Arabidopsis thaliana: one gene and its partners. The protein of the gene in region 1 interacts with the protein of each later gene in a biochemical or structural test. Each region holds a gene or a part of one and is shown on either strand. Other genes may lie near its edges.

Region 1 (7,531 bases):
TCGCAGCTTTTTCATCATAGTGCAATGGCATGATTCTTTGTTTGTTTAACAGAATCTCAAGCAAATAAAAAGTGAGAAACATTTGCTCGATGGAGTAAAATGACTCCGCACCTCAAAACATATATGAACAGAATTTCTCCATGTCGTATATATCATTCTCTGTGTAGGCTCCAAATATCGTCTTTGATGATCCGTTCATAATTCATATTAACCCAAAAAAGAAAGAAAAAAGCACATTGGAATCAAGTAATATAATCCACCAGCTCCACCATTAACCCGTTCAAAATTGTTATTAACCTTAACATACCCGTCTTTGTATCCCAATAATATTTCAGATCATCATACAACAGAAAAACGGCTTAAAATATAAGACATTGGTCCTAAGCAGAAACTATTACGGTTCTGGTGGACTATAGCTAATGACGTAGATGATTACAATGATTTTTAATGTTCGGCGATTGAGGAAGGCACCTTCCGTCGGTTCATCTTTGTCTCATTAGCGTTCGATTATAAGAAATCTCATATTATTTGTTACGACTTTCCCATCCGTCAATATAACACAGAGATACATAAAACTTAAATAATATGATCAAGGATAAATATATTAGAAAGCAGAGATTCATTCATTAAGGCCATTTCTCCATCTCCATTCAATATTTAAGAAACAAAAATCCACAAGGCAAATTTGCATCCCAAAAAAAAAGCACAGACCGAATATTTTTTAAAAGAGAAAAATAGCGAAAATGAAGCGATAAATTTGTTTTAGGACAGTCTCCATATGGACTTCTAAATATACAAGCAGATTCCTTTCATGAGCCAACCACTTCCATAGTTGTTGTTTTTTTGCCCTAAGCCAAGTACCTAAACATGTTAGGATTCTCCTTGTCCCTCTCCAAATAATCTCTGGTTATTAAATCCTCCATACGCTTCTTGATCGCTTTGATATCAGGCTGCAACAAACATCACAAATCCAATGAGTTTCATCACCACGTGCATCTTCAAATGTCTCTGTATAAATATAATTATATGTATAATTTACCTTGAACATTCGGCTAAGTTGCTCAACACACTCAGAAACAAGTTGTTGATGTCCCAATACTTTCCTGCTCTTCATGATCCTGACAATGGCAGCATCAATTGCATATCTTCTGTCTTTATCGACATCTTCAACGACTTTCTTCCTTTCATCAACTGGGGGAAGAGGGATCTGTGACGCAAATCACCCAAGTTGATGTTAGTTATTAACAATATGTAAAACATGACATAAACTTGCAGACTTTTGAGTATTACTATTAACGTCACAAACCTTGATTCTGCGCATTCTATCGGTGAATTTGGAGTTGAACTCAAAGGCATCATTCTGGGAGACAGTCTTGGTGTTTGGCTCCTTAAGGAGTATCTTGTACTTAGCACATGACAAGGAATGAAGCAACCTAACTAGATCTTCATGGCTTAGGTTCAGTTGAGCCAAGATCTCAGTGTAACTTAACTTGTCAGTTGTGTTAAAGAGTAGAAGCACAGCAGCCTATAGAGACAGAGAACGTGGCATCAGAGTCCGTTTACAGATAGAAAATATATATCAGTATTTTCTGAGAAACATACAGTACCTGGTAAGTAGACACTATTAACTCGATGGCCTTTTGATCAAACTTCCCGTTTATGTGACAAGTTCCCAGTGAATAGATCCACGTAAGCTTCCTGTGTTTCGTTTTCGTTTCATAAAACCCTTTGAAGACTTCAACACACTTGATCTGAAACAAAGAATCAACGAATTAGATCTATCAGAAGCAAACAATCTCCTTTTCAGGTATGTAAGAAAATCAATAGAGTTTTTACCATTTCACTGGGTAGATTTATGTCAAATGATTTGTAACTTGGCCAGAAACCAGTGGTAAGAACAGTGACGGTCAAGTCAATCCCTGGGTTTGCAGCAGGGTTACTGCCTAGATAATCCTCGAAACTGTTTTGGTTTTCTCTTGCCAGTGTCAAATCCGTCACCTGTCACCAGCGGATTAAAATTATATAGAAAACATAAGTCATCAGAGCACGCACCGCTTTAAAATAAGAAACACAGGGACACTCAAACTAACCATGCCCTCCATCTTAGAAGTAAACTGTCCACCACATTGTTGCTTGAGCTTTGTCAGGATACTTCTCTCATGATCATCATTAGCACTGCGATCAAATAAGAGCCTACGGGCCAGCTTCTTCCTGCAATCAAAACCATAAACAAAATGGCTTGCAACTCAGTAATCCAACTTATGTCAATCAAATTGTATATTGTTGCAAGGCATCTCCACAAAAAGCTAGTAAAAACAAAACATTACAAGAAAAACAAAGAGTAGAAGCAAAAAGAGTCGATCCACAGATAAAGAAAGATTGAAGTTGGAGATAAACCTGTAGAACTCAGCGAAAAGATCCTTGTCACTTATGTATGCAAGCAATTTGACAACCTGTAACAACATTATAAAATTCAGGACCACTCTTTGGAGACTTGAAAAAGAAAAAACAGTTTGACAAAAGTACCTTCTCAAGCGTATCTTCGATAGCTTCATCACTCAGCTTTTCACTTCCCCCCTTTTTGAGAATATTGTCGCAAAATGTTGCAAGTAGTTCTGCACTTGAACTTCCAGCAACCGTTTTGTTACAAAAAATCTCAAATGCCTCTTTCAAAGCCTAAAATATGTTTCCATAAACTTAGGTTAGTAACACAACATAAACATGAATAAGATAGACAAATGACAAGTGCGCAGAAAGAACATTAGACCTTATGGAAGAGGGTGTGGTTCTGGAAACACTCGGTGACATATACCATGTATTTATCATGAAGTTCAATCACTTTTCTGATAAGAACCTGGAAATAATGAAAGGACAGTGAATCGTTAGCAATTTTATCCCCAAAAAAAATGAATCTCTAATTTCCAATATATCTTTACTACAATCGGTTTATAATTTTACCTGTTCCTGGACGCTAGCAGTATTTGCAACCTGTGGAATAAAAACGATCTTAGCAATCACAAACGAAGAAAGAAGAGTTATCCGAATATAACAAGTAAGATAATATGAACCTGATTAGTAGCCGTGTCTTCGGCCTGTTGGACAAGAGCGTTACCCTCTGCTGTGACATGCTGTGAACGAATAACAAGTTACAGTTAATGTCATACAGTAATTAAGAGACTGCAAGTAGACCATGAAGAAAAGACTATCCATTTGCTAATCATAAACAAAAGAATGAAGATAGGTAATAAACCTGCTTAAAGATGTTTGCAACAGGTTCCAAGCCTCGCAAAATTTTATGGTAAAGCCTGTACATCCTGGAGAGATCATCCACCTGAAAGTAGACAAATATAACCATTAAAGAAATAATTAAGTCACTAACTACTCAACAATAAAAACAAAAATACTTGCTCTACCTTGTCATCTCTTAGCAATGCACGGCACCCTGAGTGTTCTTTTTCTAGAAGCTGACTTGCAAACACAACCAGCAATTCATGTTGTACTTTCTGCATACAAAAGATTACTATACAAGTCAAACAGATATCAATCTTTAAAATCAAGTATGCCTGGACTACGCATTTAAAAAGAGTCTGGAAAGTATCTCAATACAAATAACAAAATTCAAAATCAAGGCTTATGCAAGATCTATGGTTTCTTCATCAAACCTACAAGTACAGGCATAATTACATAGTGCATAATAACCAACCTCAACCAGCTTTGGCTCACTGCTTGAGTGTAGGTAGTGAGCCACTCTCTCCCTCTCCTTCTTTAGACATTCTTCAGACTGTAACATGAAAGCACAGAAGTTAATAAATAATTTCAACTATTGTGAAATAAAAACAAATTTTAGAAAATGATATCACGAGTCATGCCTTCAACATGTAATCAGGGCAAGAATCTTCCTGAATCCAGCTTGATGCCTTGCGAGAATAATACGAAGAAGTATCTTGAAGCATGAAGCTTTCAAAATCTTCTTCATACCTCTCCATCTGCCCCATTCCAATCTCTACATAGATATCTAATACGTTTTTCAGCAGGGCCCTATCAATCTGCTCGCCCTCCCGTTCTTTATCAACCTGACAGAAGAACAGGTCATGTTAGACCTTGAATCAGGCAAAAGCCAGAGTTGGATGTAACTGCACAACAATATTGACGCCATACTTACAAGAGCTATTACAGCTTGTTTGACCTTAGAATGTAGCTCATTATAAACCTGAAGCGAACAGAATCAAGGAAAAGTTAAAAATATTTCAATACAACTGAAAGCTATAAAGCCACAGGAATGAATGCCATACCAGGTCACGGAAGCATGTCAGGCCAACTTCATTCAGTGGTGGAAGTGATCTCCGAGCAATGAAGTAACGGTCAAGGTAGTAGAAGAAGCGGGATAGCCATCTGACCATTACTTTATGGTTTGACCATCTTTTAAATAGCTCCCGCAGCATAAACTCATCATGCTTCTCCCTCAACGCAGGCAAAACCTAACCACAGACAACAAGAGAGCAAACATTCAAAACCGTTTGAATCAACTTAAAACCAAGAGGGGACAGGACTTCTTGACATATGAAACCATGCACAAAAGTGGCATCTTAAAATTCAGAGGTAGTAAAAACGAGAAGTTTATAAGAAAGAAACTAAATATCAATCAGACTCACTGTTGAGTTAATATATTCCTCAAATGCTTCCCGATACTTGTCATAAAGCTGCTGTGAGTAATCATGAGGAGGTTTCTGGGTGCACATGTTGTAGATAGTCCTGAGAATCAAATAAATTCCCCATCATAAGTATCAGGACAAACAGCCAAACCGCTATATAAGGTAATAAACAAGTATAAAACCTACGTATAAAGCATCATATATTGCTCAGAGTCAAATGCTGGCTCATTCAATCCTTCCAGAATCCGTTTCAGCTTAGTAATTCCAGTCTGCATATAGTCCCATCCTTGCTCCAAGTCAATAGTCTTGCGCTCCATGTTGACAAACAACTTTTCAAGCTCTCCTCAACCTAAGTTAACCAAAGAACAAGGAGAAAACCAAAATTTAGAACAGCAGTATTAAGCAACACAATGAAATGACTGAAGCGAGAGAGTCAACAATATTTATCATTCTTCAGAGGTTATAATAACACGTTAACACCCACATTATCGAATGCGAAACGAGTATTATCACCCAAATCAAACCCAAACTATCAGATTGTGCGCAAACGAGGACATAAGCATCAGAATATACTCGAGAAACAATCAATCCATGAGATAAACACGAAATTACACAGTAGAAACGCAATCCAGAGACTCCGACGTAACCCTAACAATCTCGATCCCACAAAAATTCAAATAAAAACCTAGAAAGACGAACAATCAACAGAATGATAAAAAAATCAACTGTCGTATGGAACAAAACAAGCGAGAATCCGACAGAAATAGTGATACCTCGAGATCTTAAACCCTAATAATCAGAAAATCGCGTCGCCGTACCCCAAACAGACCCTGACGATTACCGATTCCCGATTACACAGGATCGGCGAGAGCTGCTGCGATCGAAAAAGAAGCGAGAGAGAGAGAGAATCAAAACCCTAAGAATCGTTCAGGAAAAAAGCGTAAAATAGAGAGAAAGAGAGACGAGACCTATGAGAAGGGCGGTGAAAAGATATCTCAGGAAACAAACTCGTTCTCTTCTATTCTATTATTTTCAGGTCTTATAGATTTAATTATTTTTATTTTATGTCAACTAATATATTAGTATAATATTAAACAAATTTAATTTCTTACCTTTTCAGAGATCTACATCAAGACGCTGCGTTTTATAATTTTTCTTTGTAAAGTAACTTATTTACTTTTATGCCCCTTTATTTTGCCTTCCTTACTCAAACCCTAACCCGAATCGGCTTTTTGACAATCCGAAATTAGGTAACCATGTTCATTGAATTTATCGTTTCAACACATTCGAATCACTGAGTCCTACGTTTCAGTTTAATTCCCTGATGCACATTTTGAATTCGGTTTGCGTATTGGTCTTCGAGTTTTCCGTCGGCGGCCATGGACGCGTTCAAGGAGGAGATAGAAATCGGGAGCTCGGTGGAGTCTTTAATGGAGCTATTGGATTCGCAGAAGGTGCTTTTTCATAGCCAGATCGATCAGCTCCAAGATGTCGTCGTTGCGCAATGCAAACTTACCGGCGTTAATCCCCTTGCGCAAGAAATGGTGGGTTATTGTTTCTATGTTTTTTGGTATCTAAAGTTCGTGTTTTATTGGGGTATGGTGATATGGGCAAAGCTGAGAGGGACAGGTCATTCGGATTTTGGAATAAATTCTTTGAAGGGTATTGAGTCTAGCAAAAATTAGAGGTGTTTTTGGTATAAATTCATATAGCTCGACCTCTCCGTTTCTTCTGTGAACTGTAATGGTGATGCTTCAACTGTTTATATGTCATTTCTCTGATCAAGTAATCATCTCTGTTAAAGACATTAATCTGTTTAATTTTTTTGTTGTTTCAGGCTGCTGGTGCTTTGTCCATTAAAATTGGTGAGTCATCTTAGGATTCGTGAGATCTTTTGGCATAATTACGTATATCACAGAGAATGTTTCAATTCATTGTTGCTCTCTAGGTTCATTAAAGGCATACCCAACTTTTACGTGCTCGATGCCTAGTATCTGATGAATTTGTAAATATTTCAGGAAAGCGGCCAAGAGACTTGTTGAATCCTAAGGCTGTTAAGTATCTACAAGCAGTTTTCGCAATTAAAGATGCTATTAGTAAGAGGGAATCTCGGGAGATAAGTGCTTTATTTGGCATCACAGTCGCCCAGGTATTGTTCTTCTACATGATATGTACTCTTTTTTGCCATGCTTTTAGAATTCCATGTCAGTTTAGATCTGTCATGTTGAGGTACTCATGAGACTTTGGTTTGTCTCTTTATTATTTTCTTCAATGGCAGGTTCGAGAATTTTTTGTTACTCAAAAGACAAGAGTGAGGAAACAGGTGAGGCTTTCAAGGGAGAAAGTAGTTATGTCCAATACGCATGCTTTACAAGATGATGGTGTTCCGGAAAATAACAATGCCACAAATCATGTTGAACCCGTTCCCTTGAACTCTATACATCCGGAGGCATGTTCTATAAGCTGGGGTGAAGGTGAAACAGTGGCACTTATTCCACCTGAAGATATTCCACCTGACATCAGCGATTCAGACAAATACTTTGTTGAGAATATATTTTCTCTGCTGCGTAAAGAGGAAACATTTTCAGGCCAGGTGAAACTAATGGAGTGGATCATGCAGATACAAGATGCTTCTGTGCTGATCTGGTACTAGTTGGGGGTTCTCTTTCACCCACTGTCTTATTTTATTTTATTGTTATTATATTCCCGTCTTGACAGTCATTTTCTATATGTGCCACAGGTTTTTATCAAAAGGAGGGGTTTTGATACTTACAACATGGTTAAGTCAAGCTGCTAGTGAAGAGCAAACAAGTGTCTTACTTCTTATCCTGAAGGTACGAGATTAATTTACTTGCAGCTGGATGGCTGTAAAAATATGC
Region 2 (3,985 bases), on another chromosome or scaffold:
GTGAAAGGTTTACCTTTGGTGGTGTCGGAGACCGGGTGGCCCTCTGCCGGGAATGGAGGCATGACGACACCGGCTCTTCAATATACGTACATTGGTAACTTTGTGAAGCATGTTGCAAGTGGTAAAGGAACGCCTAAGAGGCCAAATAGTAGAATTGATGCGTATATATTTGAGACGTACAATGAGAACCAGAAGCCAGTTGGAATCTATCAGCATTTTGGGTTATACGATCCTTACTGAGACGACGCCCATGTACACGCTCTTCTGATCCTCGATGTTGTGTTCAAGTGGTCAGTTTTTACTGTTTCTCTTAAGAATCTGTGTTGTCAAAATAATGCTCTAGTATTGTTTGTTTAGGGGTTGAAAGACCCATTTAATAAAACTTATGGTTTATAATCTAAGTGGGTTTCGAGTTAGCCTTATTAGAAATTTCACTTTAGTATTTGGAACTACTAAATTGAAGGAAAACACAATTGAGGATCAAAAGAGCGTTTGGTACCCAGCTCCTATGTTTTTTTACGAGTAAAAAACTCTTTGCAGGATTTTTACTTTTTAATTTTGAAATCAAAGACGTCACCCAAAGCACAACCATAATAGGTTTAGTGAACACTGAACAGTAAATCTCTGTTTCCACAAATTGTAAAATACAGTACCAAAAAAAGGGCAAAAACTTGAACAATCTTTAGTTATCATATGCGGTGGTAACCAAATGAACCTGATGTCTTCACGATTAGACACATGCTTGCTGGAACCATTTGTTGATTTAGTGACCATATTTCTGAAACTCCCACTCACTGTTATCTGTTGAAACAACTCAGCAATATTAGCAAACAAACAAAAACTGCATACTAGTCAAGAAGCTTAAAACCAAGAAACACATACCCAATGGACAAACTTGACGAGTCTTTAGCCATCTGCTGATGCAGTGAAAGTGGAAGGCGTGATTGCAAACCCCTGCAAGTACATATTGAGTATCTTTCGTTAGGGAAGGCACTAAATAATTTATGTATATCCACTTGAGTTGTCACATTATAGAAAAAAGATTCGAAAAGGTCATCACACAATCACATACATCTTAAAGGAATACTTCCTACTTTCTCTAATACTTCCTAGCTAACAAGATTCACCCTCCAAGTGGTCATCTTTCATTGAGCAATCAAGAATACAGAAATACTTATTGCAGTTATTTTGGTCGTCCTCTGAGTTTTTAATTCATCATCAATCGTACAATCAACTGCAAGACTATGAAAGCATGTAAACACAATAACTACAATTTGGTCTCTCTCTCTCTCAGAAAATCTTTAAAACTCCATAAATCTAATCAACTGTACTACTCATCGACCAATCTAGATTGCTGCAAAACAAGGAACAGGGTCTGCTCTCAAATAAAGCAAAGACATCTATCAGAGTGATACTACCACATAAGTAAAATTCAATGTCAAGTTTTAAAACACGCACTCAGAGATACTAAAATTGTTTCACACAACACTTTCGCATACAGTTTTGTGTTTCTAGATTCACAATTACGATAGCTACAATTATAAACCAAATCAAGTTTCCAAACAAAAAGCAACGATTGAGATCATGATCATAGAAGAAGAAAAATGCTTACCCCAAGCTACAGTGCACTCTTCACTTGTGGCACTGGCCTGATTAGCCTGACACTCGATACCTAACAACAAACCAAAACACAAAAACGAAATAAGCATAAACATTCAACATCATCGTTACAAATTCCAAAATCAATCGATTGTTTTAAGACTTACAAAGATCCATGATGTGGTTTCTGCAGATCGCACAGTTGTCAACAACGATATCTGCAACCAAAACAAAGATCAATCAATCAATAAAACTCTTAACCTAACCAAAAATTAACATCGTAACACAAACATCGAAACATCGAAAGACCAATTGAAGATAGTGTATAAGGATTTTCGAGGTTACCCCAAGCCCAGAGAGCAACGGCGCTCCACTTCTTAATTTCGAATCGCTTAGCTTTCTTGTTGGAAGACGACGCGGCTACGCTGCTGGAGGCTTCTCCGGCAGGAATCATGGTAACGTCGGAGTCTAGAGTCGCCATTAATCTCTGATCGGAAAGAAAATTTAAACCCTAGAAAAGCCGGAGAAAAATATCAACGTTTGAGCTGTCGCTGATTTTGTTGTAGAGAGAGATTGTAGAGGAAGAAGAAGAGAGATATATAAAGCAGCTTTGGGCTTTGCCTGTATAGTGGGCTTTCGTCGGAATTAGATTCCCGTAAATTTCCATAATTCGGTTTAAGGTTTCCTTTTTTTAATCTTACTCATCCTACGATTTACATAAATATTTTAATTTTTCCTTTATTATCCCAACGATTTTTATTTATTTAATTGATAAATTAAATATTTTTAAGCAAAAAGATTACGGAAAATATCTATTTTATATAATAAAAAAAACATATATATATATTTTTTTCTAACTATTCCCAGAAGATTTACAATAACTATATGACTAATTAACTAATCATTACATACGCTTAGTTCAAATTAACTGGAAAATCATTACATCATAAAAGCTTAGCGTATTCAATGCATCAAGATGTTAGAAAATAGTGTCAAGATATTTTTCTACAAGCCATAAGAGTTGCATATAGTTAGATGATGTATATGCTTCATGCCACCTGCCTCTGGTCTCTGAGAGCTGAAACTTTCTTCCGCAGTTCAATATTTGATATTCTCTCCACCTCCAGAGCTCGTTCAAGCTACACAATCCGTTGGTTTTGGTTTAGCCTCTCATAGTAAACAAAAGGGTTTGAATTCGATAAACTCGATATTGGCTTAAGATTTTTCACTATCATATTGCTGCATCTCTAAAACATACAATGAAGAGAGAGAGAGAGAAGAGAAGATTGTACCTTTGCAGCTCGCATACTCCATTCTCCAAGAATAGCTCTTAACCTTTCATTTTCTGCTACATACTGTTTCAGGAGTTTCAAAAACAAAAGATGATGAGTTCAGGGATCAGAAAAAATGTGTAGCCCTTGCAAATTGTTTGATGCAAAAACAATTCATGGTAAAGCTGTGTTGATGATAAACATGATGTGATGCTGTGAAAGTATGTTTTGTTCTCATATGTTCTTATGTTTATAGATAGACTCGAACCTGATTATTGGTATTCCGGACGTGTTGTATCTCTCTATCTCTCTCAGAGATCAGAGATCGAGCGAGATTAAGCTCTGAATGGAGTTGATCCACCTGCAAGACACACAATTTTCATTTAAAGATGCTACATCAAGGATACTAGCCTTGAAATGTCAATCAACTATGATATGTTTTCCACCAAATGGGTAAAAGAGAGATGAGAAAGAAAAATTAACCATGGGAATTTGCAAGTTTATCATTTGTTAACCGAGCTTTACCTCAGCAGATAGTGTTCGTAATTCCTGATCTCGAGTTGCCACAAGATGCGCCAGATCAACCTGAAAGTTTAACATTTATCAAATGCAAAAATTAAAATCCCAGTGGAAGGAAAAAGTTATACATTACTTTTAAGAAAATTTATTAAGAATGTTGTTAGAATGTGTACACGCTGATAAAAAGAAGTCAAAAATTCAGAATGGAGCAGTTCAAACCTGAGGCGTGCTACTACCATTCGTTTCATATTTACTTAAGGACTCCTGCAAACGCAGAATCTGAAACAAAACAAGAGAGGTCAGAGACTCACTCTAACGAAAGCATGGGAAAATTCAGAAAATTAGGGTAGACAATGAAGAGCTAGAGAGAGCATTGAACTTAGAATTACTAGTAAGAAACATCACAAGCATCAAGATTCAGAAATGAAGTACTCATGATAAATATTCCATGGATTGTCACCTCTTCACTGAGATAATGGAGATTCTCGCGTTGATATTGCAGTAGAGCCATTTGTTGATCAGAAAGGCGACCGGCTTCATGGTATCTGTGTTTCAAGCAAAAAAAACGAAGTAAGACTTGAGAATTGTAAAAACAT
Region 3 (4,754 bases), on another chromosome or scaffold:
CAGTCTTCACTCAGTGTCCTCACTAAGAACATGTACCTAGACCAATTAATAGATTCTCTGTTTATATACCACAAATGTCTATGCTTATTAATGAGTAGTACTATTCTTTTATTTTTAATTTTTTAGTAAGACACATTTAATAACCAAGATGATACAGAGAAAACGGGAGACCGTAAACAATTAAAATAATATACGTGACTTGTATAGTTGTATTGCTTGACACAAACTAATTAGAATGTTGACCAAATTTGGTTAACGGAATTTCACCGCCCAATTCCACTTGCTTTATATGCGATGAACAGTTGACCAGAGGAGACAAAGTGTAACAAATAGGCTATTAACAAAACATAGAAGTAATTAATACATTCATAGTTTATATATAGACATGTTGTGAGAACTTATTCTTTTCTTCTTTAACAAACAATCTGAATTCGTTTCATACTATATAAGTATTATATACTACCTAGTTATATGCTAGCTTTGTATTGACTCATAGAGTCATAGTACAAATGCTAAAATACTAAAGCTACACAGAGTGGTAGAACCAGCTGAAATATGTTTAAAACTACATGACCTAACCCAACCATTACAAATTTATAAACAAACTACATCCTGAAACTCCAGAATAGACGATGTAGCTCACTATGAACTATAATGTATGTTTAATGTCAGAACCAAATAAATTTAAAAAAAATGTCAGAACCGTACGAGAAGAACAAACAAAACTTTTTGTAGTTTGTTTGTATATATTTCTAAGTAAAAATGCTGAACACAATTATACAACCAATATATGTGATCTAATGTGCTATTTAGGAAAATTTGTCGATGATAAGTACTACGTCAGAGTCAAAAGACCCATATTGGTTTAGTCCGACTATTAGATACGAAAAGTCAAGCAAACATTACATGTAAATTTTGGTAAGATGTGAGAGATATATATGTCTTTTTTTTTATTTTTTGATAACAAAGATGATGCTAAAATACTTTTAGATCCAAACACCAATTATGAGATTCGGAAAAACTAATGTTAGAATTCGAACCATGATGGCCAATATTACATGAACTCAAGTGGCAAATTTTTTCACTCTTTTACTATTGGAGCAAGATGACTTGGTTATGTAAGAGATATGTTGCTCTCAATATTCTCATAGATCATCTCTTTCTTCAAATTGGTAAGATATGAGAAATATGTCCCATCTTTTTATTATCATACCAAAGTCTTTTATAAAATATATCATATATGTATATATATATATTGTCAAGAATAACTTGACTTCATACATACTATTTGAATTCGGATAGTATCACAAAACATCACTACCACGTAACTGTTGGAACTTCAATTTTACAAAGTATTTCCGGCTAACTTTTCGGCGAGTTTTTCAGTGAAGTTTGTCACAAAAATAAGAATGATCATATTTTTGGAATCTTTGTAATCGTTTTCAAAGTTTTCTCTCCGGATTTTCGCGGTTCTACAATAATTACATTACATATCATGATCAATATGTGACCTGATCCTCGTAGTTAATTAAAACATAATTTCCCGGTCACCATTCAAAACTTTCTAGATGGAAGATTAACAAAACAAAATTATCTTAGCTTAATTTTGTAGTAACAGAGAAGAAATGATTAACTAACATCTAATCAAGCCCACGTGTCATAAACCCCACCAATGAAGAAAAAAGAGCAAAAGACATGCACATGCAATTACACGAATACATACACCCCACCACCATCCTCCCTCCTTATATTATTATTGCCCCTTCCTCTCCTTTCTTCTTCCCCTCTTACCTTTTCAGAGAGAGAAACAATATTTCTAATCTATTACAAGTAACATGATCGGCCAACTTATGAACCTCAAGGCCACGGAGCTCTGTCTCGGCCTCCCCGGCGGCGCTGAAGCAGTTGAGAGTCCTGCCAAATCGGCGGTGGGAAGCAAGAGAGGCTTCTCCGAAACCGTTGATCTCATGCTCAATCTTCAATCTAACAAAGAAGGCTCCGTTGATCTCAAAAACGTTTCTGCTGTTCCCAAGGAGAAGACTACCCTTAAAGATCCTTCTAAGCCTCCTGCTAAGTAAGCTACACATTTACATATATATATATTCTTAGATTTTTTTTTTTTTTGGTTAAAAAGTTCTTAGTTTTTTCCAGTCCATATATATACATATATACGTGTTTATACACATCTATGTCTAAGTTCTTAGAATATTCGAATATATATAAATTTCATAGTTATATGTCCTCGCAGAACATAAATATTGTGAGGGATTTACATAAACATATGAATAAACTAAAAATTCTTGAAATTTGTAATGTTAGTTATATATATATATATATATATATATATATATATATATATACTTCCCATATACATTACCTTTTTTTGTTAAAATTTATATGCATAACTTTGATTCTTTGAAGTTATATTTGTTTTCTATCAATATAATACTAAGAAATAATATAATAATAATTAAAGCGTGGTTGAAACTTAAACACCAATACATACATGCGTACAAGCAAACATGAAATAATACATGTTATAACTTACAATCAAGCCCATAAAGGCAGTAATGGTAACTAATAATTACATTGGTTGATATACACCTATCTAAATAATGTTGTTCTATGTAGAGCACAAGTGGTGGGATGGCCACCTGTGAGGAACTACAGGAAGAACATGATGACTCAGCAGAAGACCAGTAGTGGTGCGGAGGAGGCCAGCAGTGAGAAGGCCGGGAACTTTGGTGGAGGAGCAGCCGGAGCCGGCTTGGTGAAGGTCTCCATGGACGGTGCTCCATATCTGAGGAAAGTTGACCTCAAGATGTACAAAAGCTACCAGGATCTTTCTGATGCATTGGCCAAAATGTTCAGCTCCTTTACTATGGGTACGTATTAGAAATTTCAAATCGGAAAGTGTGAAAAAACTATATTCGTATATTAAAGTATATCATTTACTACATTTATTCATACAAAACTCATGAACCTTACCGAGTTAGAGTCATAGAACTATACATTCGAACCCTATACATATTAACAAGATGAGATTTTGCTAAATGTATACAACTTAAATATGTATTATATATATTACACAATAATGACACATAAATTTATATGATTTTTGAATGTCTTGAATATCTTCAAGGAAACTATGGAGCACAAGGAATGATAGATTTCATGAACGAGAGCAAGCTAATGAATCTGCTGAATAGCTCTGAGTATGTGCCAAGCTACGAGGACAAAGATGGTGACTGGATGCTCGTTGGCGATGTCCCATGGGAGTGAGTCAAATTTAATCGTTTCATATACTTTTTTTTATAACTTATAACTTGACTCGTTAACCACATTTCCCGAAATTGGTAGAGACAAAGCCAAAGATATTCAACATCCATGTGTTATAAATACGTACAACCATGCATTGGTTGGCAAGAGACAAGAGGATCTTTCAAAAATTATACAATAGTATCGATATGTTTAGAGCTCATTCGTAGCTGGCACATCATCATATTATTGCCAAAAACCTTAGAATAAACTTTAAATGTTAACGACTCATATTCTAATGTTCTAACCGTAAACTTGAATACCTATTTCAGAATGTTTGTCGAGTCTTGCAAACGTTTGCGCATTATGAAGGGATCTGAAGCAGTTGGACTTGGTACATCTCTAACTTTTTTTTTTTTTTTTTGTTTTTCAATTTTTACCAATTTTCTTTTTATTTTAATATAATTCTGTTTTCTTGGTTATAGCTCCGAGAGCAATGGAGAAGTACTGCAAGAACAGATCTTGAATTAATAATAAAAAAAAAGAAGCATCAATGATCAACAATATGACGGGTTCTTGATTTTATATGTATTTTTATGATTGTATGTGGCTATCACCTATATATGTGTGTTGTAATTTTAAATACTTGATGGGTATATAGGGCAGTATTTTACCAGTAAGATGTGGACAAACTTGTAATGTGACCAAAAGAGAGGAAACTTCAATATCTCTGTGTTTGTGTCATATTTATTGCCCAACATGTGTCTGTCGGTTTGATGATCAATCACAACTTGATATGTGCATACATATAAATGTGTGTATGTAGGTGTGTGTACATGTACATGTGTTTTGATCCCTACTCTGCTACTTGTCGTTTCTTGTGTGTGTTATCTAATAGTTTTTTCCCAAAATGAATAATTCGTTGTTATGTTTACTATTTTACCAATAAAATCTTAGCTTTTTAATTCTACTCTCTAACCATTACTAGCGTTTTTTAGTTTTAAAAACTCTGATTATGTATTGACTTTTAGATGAAGTCTTTAATGAACAATTGAACATATCCTACAACCCACAAAAAAAATAAGAAGTAGAATTTAAAGTTGGTTTGTTGTCATTTCATCATAAATTGTGTATCCTAATTTTTTGGGACATGTGGTCCGTAATCTGTCATATTTTAAACTAACTGATGATTATATGTGTAGCGGCTTTACAAGATTAATTTAGTCATCATTTCAAAAATATGTTGAAATCAATATAATTTGTTTTCATTATTAAAAAAAAAGTGAGTAAGATACAGTTACAAAAGAGGATATAAAAGTTTTAATATTCGGATGTTTGTTACTCACTTACAATTTGTTACGACTTGCGAGTTATTGATGGTTCTTACTGGTGGATGGATGATGGATCATTAGATATATATATTGTATTCATATTATAGATTAATAATCTCATATAAATTATGTAAGTCGTTGATGCCTCCAAATAGTATAATTTGA
Region 4 (5,661 bases), on another chromosome or scaffold:
ACCAGTCATTTAGCCACACTTGTTTCGCTACCGAATAGGCCAGGATACCGATGGGAGCCATTTGTAGACACGAGCAAACCGAGCCCTTACGACTGCATAACACCGGATCTCCCAGAGAGAGAAACGGCGATGAAGCAGTATAGGCACTTCTTAGATGCAAATGTGTACCCAATGCTCAGTTACTCATCCATCATTCTCCTTCTTTCACCAATTAAAGACCCCTGAGTTTGCGTGATTCCTCCAAAAGCGTATTAGACAAAATCACAACATATGAAGGAATCTTCTCAAATGTGAATGAGATGCATATACAGACAACTATTTCGTTACCTATATAATGTATTATAGTAAAGGTTCCTTTTATGGTTAGAAGAATCTGAATGGGGTACCTTTGGTCGGCTTCAGATATGCCCACTCATTGTTAATAGATTCCTTTATCGTCTGTTAATCCAATCAAAAGCTTGTTACATCGTTTTCAGAATTCGTGTAAGAACAAGAAATCAAAGTTTTCATCTATAAAGTTATAAATGATTATTAGTACTCTATTATTTGCCTTTTTACTAATGTTATCAAAACAATCACAACCACAAATAAAGTTTCAGATGCCAATCCAAACAAATATAGCTCTCAGAAGTCAACACCATGGACGATAAAGAAATCTCTCAAAATCTTCGGGGTTTTATTAAAGAAATTAAAGTAAACAGACCCCTGAGGAAAAATAAAGAAGTAATGACCATACAACAAACAAGACTGACTCTATGTAATCTCCCAAAAACATCGACGACACAACATGAAACAAAAAAAGAACCAAAGTAGTATAGTACACAGTTTGTGGAAACCCCAAAACTCGAGACTAAAAATCTTTATATACAAACCTGTTTTTTGGGTCATATCATATTGGCTCCTTCAGGACTCTAACAGTTGTTGGACAATCTGTTCTCTGGCCAGCCAGAGAGTAGTAAGCCAATATATGAGCCGGATGCTCCATCTCTCTTATCTCTCCTTGTTGATTCACTTCCGGGACTCTTCTTGATGGAATCAGCTCGATGTTCCAGTACGGTCTAGCCATCTGCATTAGATCTTGTCCCGTCATCGATGCTCTGTAACCTTGTACCCACAAGTATCTCAGTGAAGGCAATTTTGTAACCGCTGCAGCGATTGCTCGCTCACTGAAGCAACAACCTCTCATCTCTAGCTTCTGTAGATTTGGACAGCCTCTTGAGAATTCCATTAAACCTTCATCTGATTCACCTACGTAACCCAGCAGCATCCATCTCACGTTTGGACTGTACTGTCCGATGTAGCTTAAGCCCAAGTCGGTTAAGCCGCCTTGTCTCAGATAGAATGCAAATCGTCTGAGTTTCTTGCATCCAATCAAAAGAGATCGGACTCCGTTGTCCAGTGGCAGATCTGTAATCCTTTCTTCCCGGTCGAGTAAGACAAGGCGGAAGTCACAGAGGTTTTTCAGATATGTGCCTATGCTTTCAAGAGATTCGTTAGTTATATCTGAGACATACACCGCCATGTATTCTAGCTCCTGGCAGCCCTGAGCCAAAGCGATTAATCCTCTTTGTGAGACTAAGCCTTCTTCGTCCTCCATTCCTTGTTCATCTGCACCGCGTTCAATCCTCAGCCGCTTCAACTGCTTACAGTACTGTGCAAGGACCTCTAGACCCCTATCTCCGATTACATTCCTTGTCTGAAGAAAAACAACAAGTGTTGTCAGTCTTATATAGATGTAAAGACTAAAGAGAACCAATATTGCATTCATATCCCTTATCTCCCCAAATATTTCGTGAAAAAATAGGAACACAATTTAGTACTAAGGACGCATTCCCAAGTATGTAGTAAAGACAGCAAAGTTAAACGTTTACCTCGAGAACTTCCAAATTAGGACACTTTTGGATAAGCGTACAATGGTCTTCAGTTTCTAGCAATGCATAAAGCAAATCCAGCTTTCGGATTTGGGCCGCGAATGGAAATAGTATTGGCATTTCATTAGGTCCCATGTAAGAGAGACCAAGCCGACATAGTTTTCGGGGAAAAACCAGATTCATGTACTTCTCAGGCATTCCAATATCCTCATTCAAGGAGCCACCACAAAATTCTTCAAGATTAGCTGCAGCCTTAAAGAACCCAACTAGTTCCAAAATCTCAAAGTCACCGACCTTCACAGATACCAGAGAGCGGCAATTTCTAGCTATGGTTTCCAAGTCTTTGGGACTGATTTTGGCAAACTCCGTCATGTAGAAGTTTAAAACCTCAAGAGATGTGTTGTGCTGAGCAAGCTCATGAAGCCACTTACCATCCTTTTCACTAAAAGAACTCTCTTCCATTAACAAAGTTTTTATTTTCCTGGACAAGACAACAGACAGTTGCATGAATAAAGTGAGAAACAACTCAAGATATTTGGATTTCCCGCTAAAACTGAATATGAAGAACAGCAGCAGCCGAATCAAGGATTCAAAAACCAAATAATACACATAAACTCTGGCAGACTGAAGATGTCAGAAATCAATCTTTTTGCTATTTATGCATAAACAAAGTGAATGTTCCCCAAAGAGGGAAAAAATTGGTTGTAGATAAAATCCGGATCAAAGTTTATACTTCCCCAATTGAGAAATAACTGAAGATCATTGCAATTTCTGCTTTAATAGCAAGCATAACAGTTGCAAAGCAATTAAGGATATAAGACAAACATGAACGCCTAAATACTGAAACTTTCTGAAATAAATGTTTCTGCTTATATTACTCTTAGTGTAAAGTGTACTAAGAAATCAAATGAAGTAAGGTTCACCAATTTCATTAAGGACAAAAAGTATCCACCAAAGTTACAACTTACCCAATTGAGCTAAAGAAGATCAAATCTTTACAAACACAAACTCAAGATATGGTTCTTTGTACAACGACGACTTATTAAGTTTTTTAAAAAGAGCCAAATGCATCTAGAGTTCTAGTCAAAGTAGGAAATGATAAGGAGTCGCTAAACCTCAAAAGCATCGAGCCAAAGTAGCTACAAGATACTGAGAAGTAAGTGTACCTGCAGTGTGTAACGATGCTCAAAAGTCCATCAGTAGTAAAACCAGAACACTTGTCTAGCTTCAAAGTCTCAAGATCATCTGCTCTAGCTTTAGCTAAACGATCTAGATCTAAGTCACTGACAATCATCCGTCGGAAGTGCACCGATTTGAGCTGCCTAAGGTTGTTAGAAATCTCAGTAACCCAAGGAGTAACATAACCTCCCCAGTTCTCAGGGATCAGATTAAACATAGCTGCTCTAGGCTTGCCTTTAAGCTTGAGCGACCTCAAGTTCGGGAATCGACGGCTAAGACGATCAGGCGTCGCAGTGTAGCAAAGCGCCATAGTCACATGCTCTCTCGTCTCGGAATCAATCTTGAACCATCTCCGACACACCAAAGAAGCCGAATCGCGATCTTTCGGGTCAGTTATATAGGTCATGACTTGCTCGATGACATCATCAACCGTCGCGACGCAGCTCAATTTACACCTCTTGATATCAGGATCCTCCATCGGATCGAAAAAAAAACAAAAGAAAAAAACAAACGAATCCTGGAAAGATTCGATTTAGAGAAGAAACCGACGACTTCGAATTGAAATCGAGGTCGCAGATCCACACATAACCACCAGAGTGAGAAGAAAGAAGTAAGAAAGGAAAGATCCGGTGAATCGGAGAAGACTAGAGATTGAGAGAGTGAGGGAGAAGAAGACACGCGTAGGAAGAAGAGGCGGATTGGGAGGAAGAAGAAGAAAGTGGGACGATGGAATCAAATTTTGTTTGGTTAATAATATTTTTGAGGATCAAGTGGGACGATCATTATTTCATACACTGAAGTTGACGGTCGAGATGCGATCTTCTCTCTACTTCTATGTTTTTCTTTTCATTTTTGCAGTGGTCAGATCTCAGCTACACGACAATATTATTAGAATATTTAACTGATCCAATAAGCTGTGTGATTTATTCGATGGATAGATTTAATTATTTCTTTATAGAGTATTAATAACCTGAATCCTAAGCAAAAAATTTAAAAATACTAAATACTAGTATATGTTATCTTTGGTTGCTTTATATGTGATTAAAATAAAAATACAATAATTCTCCTTTCTTTTGTAAGATAAAAATTTTCTACAGTATTAGTAGCTTTTAATGAGGAAAAAAAAAGTTGTTGACTGCATGAATTTATATGGTCCATAATATGGTTAACTATATATTATGGACCATATGAATATAAGTATATAACAAAAAACTACATTTAATGATGTATGATTTTCAAGGTTTATTTGGTACAAGTTCAACATCAATTGTCGAAAGAAAGCGCTCAAAATGGTACTTTTGGAACAAAGACTATTTACATGTCTTTTTTTTAACGTCTTTGGGATTAAATCATTCAGCAACAAGACTTAAAAAGCAGCAAATTATTAACTTTTAGTGCTTATTACAGTTGCGAAAAGAACCAATCACATTGAAATTTCTTTCAGTGACAAAAGTTTTTCCAATAGAAAAAAAAAGCTCAGGAAAAGTATTAGAAAGAACAACAATGACTATGAATAAGGAGGGAACCATGAAAGAAAATGAATACTGCAAAAGAACTTTTTTATTATGATCGTATTTCTTAGCTTCATTTGAAACTCGGAAATAACAAAGGTAATATAAGCAAGCTACAAAAAACCCGACTAATTACACCTGAAACCAAAAGACTTGGGCTGAACAAAACCAAAAACTAGGCGAGAGATGAGTTTTCTATACACTTAACTCGGACCACACTTACAAAGAACCAAAAAAATTAACCAGAAGTCTCTCTGGGAGGCGCAGGCACTGCTTCGCTTGAGCTCACACTCTCACCACCACCATCTCCTCCCTCAACTGAACTCGGTTGTTGCAACCCAATAGGTGCAAACAAGCTCACACCACTCACATCCCGGCTCACACTGTATAGACCTCTGCTTCCATGATGGTTCAAAGGTGTAGATGTTGTTGCATTGGCTCCGCTTATGAGCAATCGTAGTGTTTCTCTTGCACCTTTCTCGACCAGCGAATCATTCTCCACTGGGAGCGGAGGGATGCCCGTGGATATTATCCCGGTGGGTCCAGCGCTTACCAGATAGCTTTGACCTGAAGAGAAGATATCGATAACTGGAATATGAACAATAGGGTCGCACATTATAGGAATCATCATCTGTTGCTGGGATGATGATGATGATGAGCCTGGAATGGGTATGTGGTGGACTAATGGTAATGGAGGGATGTCAGAGAGATCGAGCGGTGATGACGGGATCAAGAATCCATCTGATCCCGATGCTGGTAATAAGGAGGAAAGTGGCGGAAGGGAAGGTAGCTCAATGGATAGTGGAGGGAACTGATAAGAGGCAGATGGTGCGTGAAGCGATGAAGTGGTTGGAGGGCACCAGCAATAATAAGGAGAAAAGACTGGTGGACCCATCTTCAAAGGAAATGGGGGAGGTCCGGTCATTGTACTTGGTGTTGACTCTGCTTCTTCAAAAGCAATAATTTGTCTGATTCCATTATAATTCTCAGTAGCTTCTTCAACTTCTCCTTCTGACTGGATAAAACCCTCTACATTGGTGGGGATAGAGGTAATGGATGAATTATCAAAGATTGAGAAATGGCCTTCACTGTGTCCCTTT

What was found.
Region 2: the proteins of CUL1 (region 1) and RBX1 form a complex in vitro, tested with the Arabidopsis thaliana proteins (2 studies listed by BioGRID).
Region 3: the proteins of CUL1 (region 1) and IAA7 form a complex in vitro, tested with the Arabidopsis thaliana proteins (2 studies listed by BioGRID).
Region 4: the proteins of CUL1 (region 1) and COI1 form a complex in vitro, tested with the Arabidopsis thaliana proteins (one study listed by BioGRID).

The regions. Positions count from the first base shown.
Region 1 is NC_003075.7:1,126,753-1,134,283, reverse strand, and holds CUL1 (cullin 1), read right to left. Parts: upstream 5,770-7,531; 5' UTR 5,621-5,769; exon of another isoform or gene 5,527-5,620; 5' UTR 5,471-5,526; exon of another isoform or gene 5,426-5,470; intron 5,002-5,425; 5' UTR 4,970-5,001; coding exon 4,839-4,969; intron 4,753-4,838; coding exon 4,653-4,752; intron 4,479-4,652; coding exon 4,293-4,478; intron 4,211-4,292; coding exon 4,163-4,210; intron 4,074-4,162; coding exon 3,870-4,073; intron 3,782-3,869; coding exon 3,704-3,781; intron 3,504-3,703; coding exon 3,414-3,503; intron 3,332-3,413; coding exon 3,251-3,331; intron 3,129-3,250; coding exon 3,069-3,128; intron 2,989-3,068; coding exon 2,959-2,988; intron 2,855-2,958; coding exon 2,768-2,854; intron 2,677-2,767; coding exon 2,527-2,676; intron 2,454-2,526; coding exon 2,398-2,453; intron 2,212-2,397; coding exon 2,091-2,211; intron 1,999-2,090; coding exon 1,837-1,998; intron 1,752-1,836; coding exon 1,608-1,751; intron 1,526-1,607; coding exon 1,307-1,525; and 6 more. Other genes in the region: LD (Homeodomain-like superfamily protein), read left to right, coding at 6,032-6,196, 6,490-6,517, 6,671-6,801, 6,931-7,298, 7,393-7,486.
Region 2 is NC_003076.8:6,956,142-6,960,126, forward strand, and holds RBX1 (RING-box 1), read right to left. Parts: upstream 2,171-3,985; 5' UTR 2,081-2,170; coding exon 1,945-2,080; coding exon of another isoform or gene 1,891-1,944; intron 1,818-1,890; coding exon 1,767-1,817; intron 1,673-1,766; coding exon 1,613-1,672; intron 1,200-1,612; coding exon 1,128-1,199; intron 955-1,127; coding exon 883-954; intron 802-882; coding exon 764-801; 3' UTR 519-763; downstream 1-518. Other genes in the region: AT5G20560 (Glycosyl hydrolase superfamily protein), read left to right, coding at 1-240; AT5G20580 (TMEM192 family protein), read right to left, coding at 2,649-2,738, 2,892-2,954, 3,139-3,231, 3,396-3,455, 3,609-3,668, 3,850-3,934. UniProt on the Arabidopsis thaliana protein: Component of the SCF (SKP1-CUL1-F-box protein) E3 ubiquitin ligase complex, which mediates the ubiquitination and subsequent proteasomal degradation of target proteins.
Region 3 is NC_003074.8:8,192,933-8,197,686, forward strand, and holds IAA7 (indole-3-acetic acid 7), read left to right. Parts: upstream 1-1,673; 5' UTR 1,674-1,835; coding exon 1,836-2,074; intron 2,075-2,631; coding exon 2,632-2,885; coding exon of another isoform or gene 2,886-2,896; exon of another isoform or gene 2,897-3,142; coding exon 3,143-3,278; coding exon of another isoform or gene 3,279-3,282; exon of another isoform or gene 3,283-3,590; coding exon 3,591-3,652; intron 3,653-3,743; coding exon 3,744-3,784; 3' UTR 3,785-4,223; downstream 4,224-4,754.
Region 4 is NC_003071.7:16,671,959-16,677,619, forward strand, and holds COI1 (RNI-like superfamily protein), read right to left. Parts: upstream 3,907-5,661; 5' UTR 3,529-3,906; coding exon 3,038-3,528; intron 2,353-3,037; coding exon 1,872-2,352; intron 1,697-1,871; coding exon 890-1,696; 3' UTR 535-889; downstream 1-534. Other genes in the region: ISA1 (isoamylase 1), read left to right, coding at 1-225; AT2G39950 (flocculation protein), read right to left, coding at 4,800-5,661. UniProt on the Arabidopsis thaliana protein: Required for jasmonate-regulated plant fertility and defense processes, and for coronatine and/or other elicitors perceptions/responses. Seems to not be required for meiosis. Required for the regulation of some genes induced by wounding, but not for all.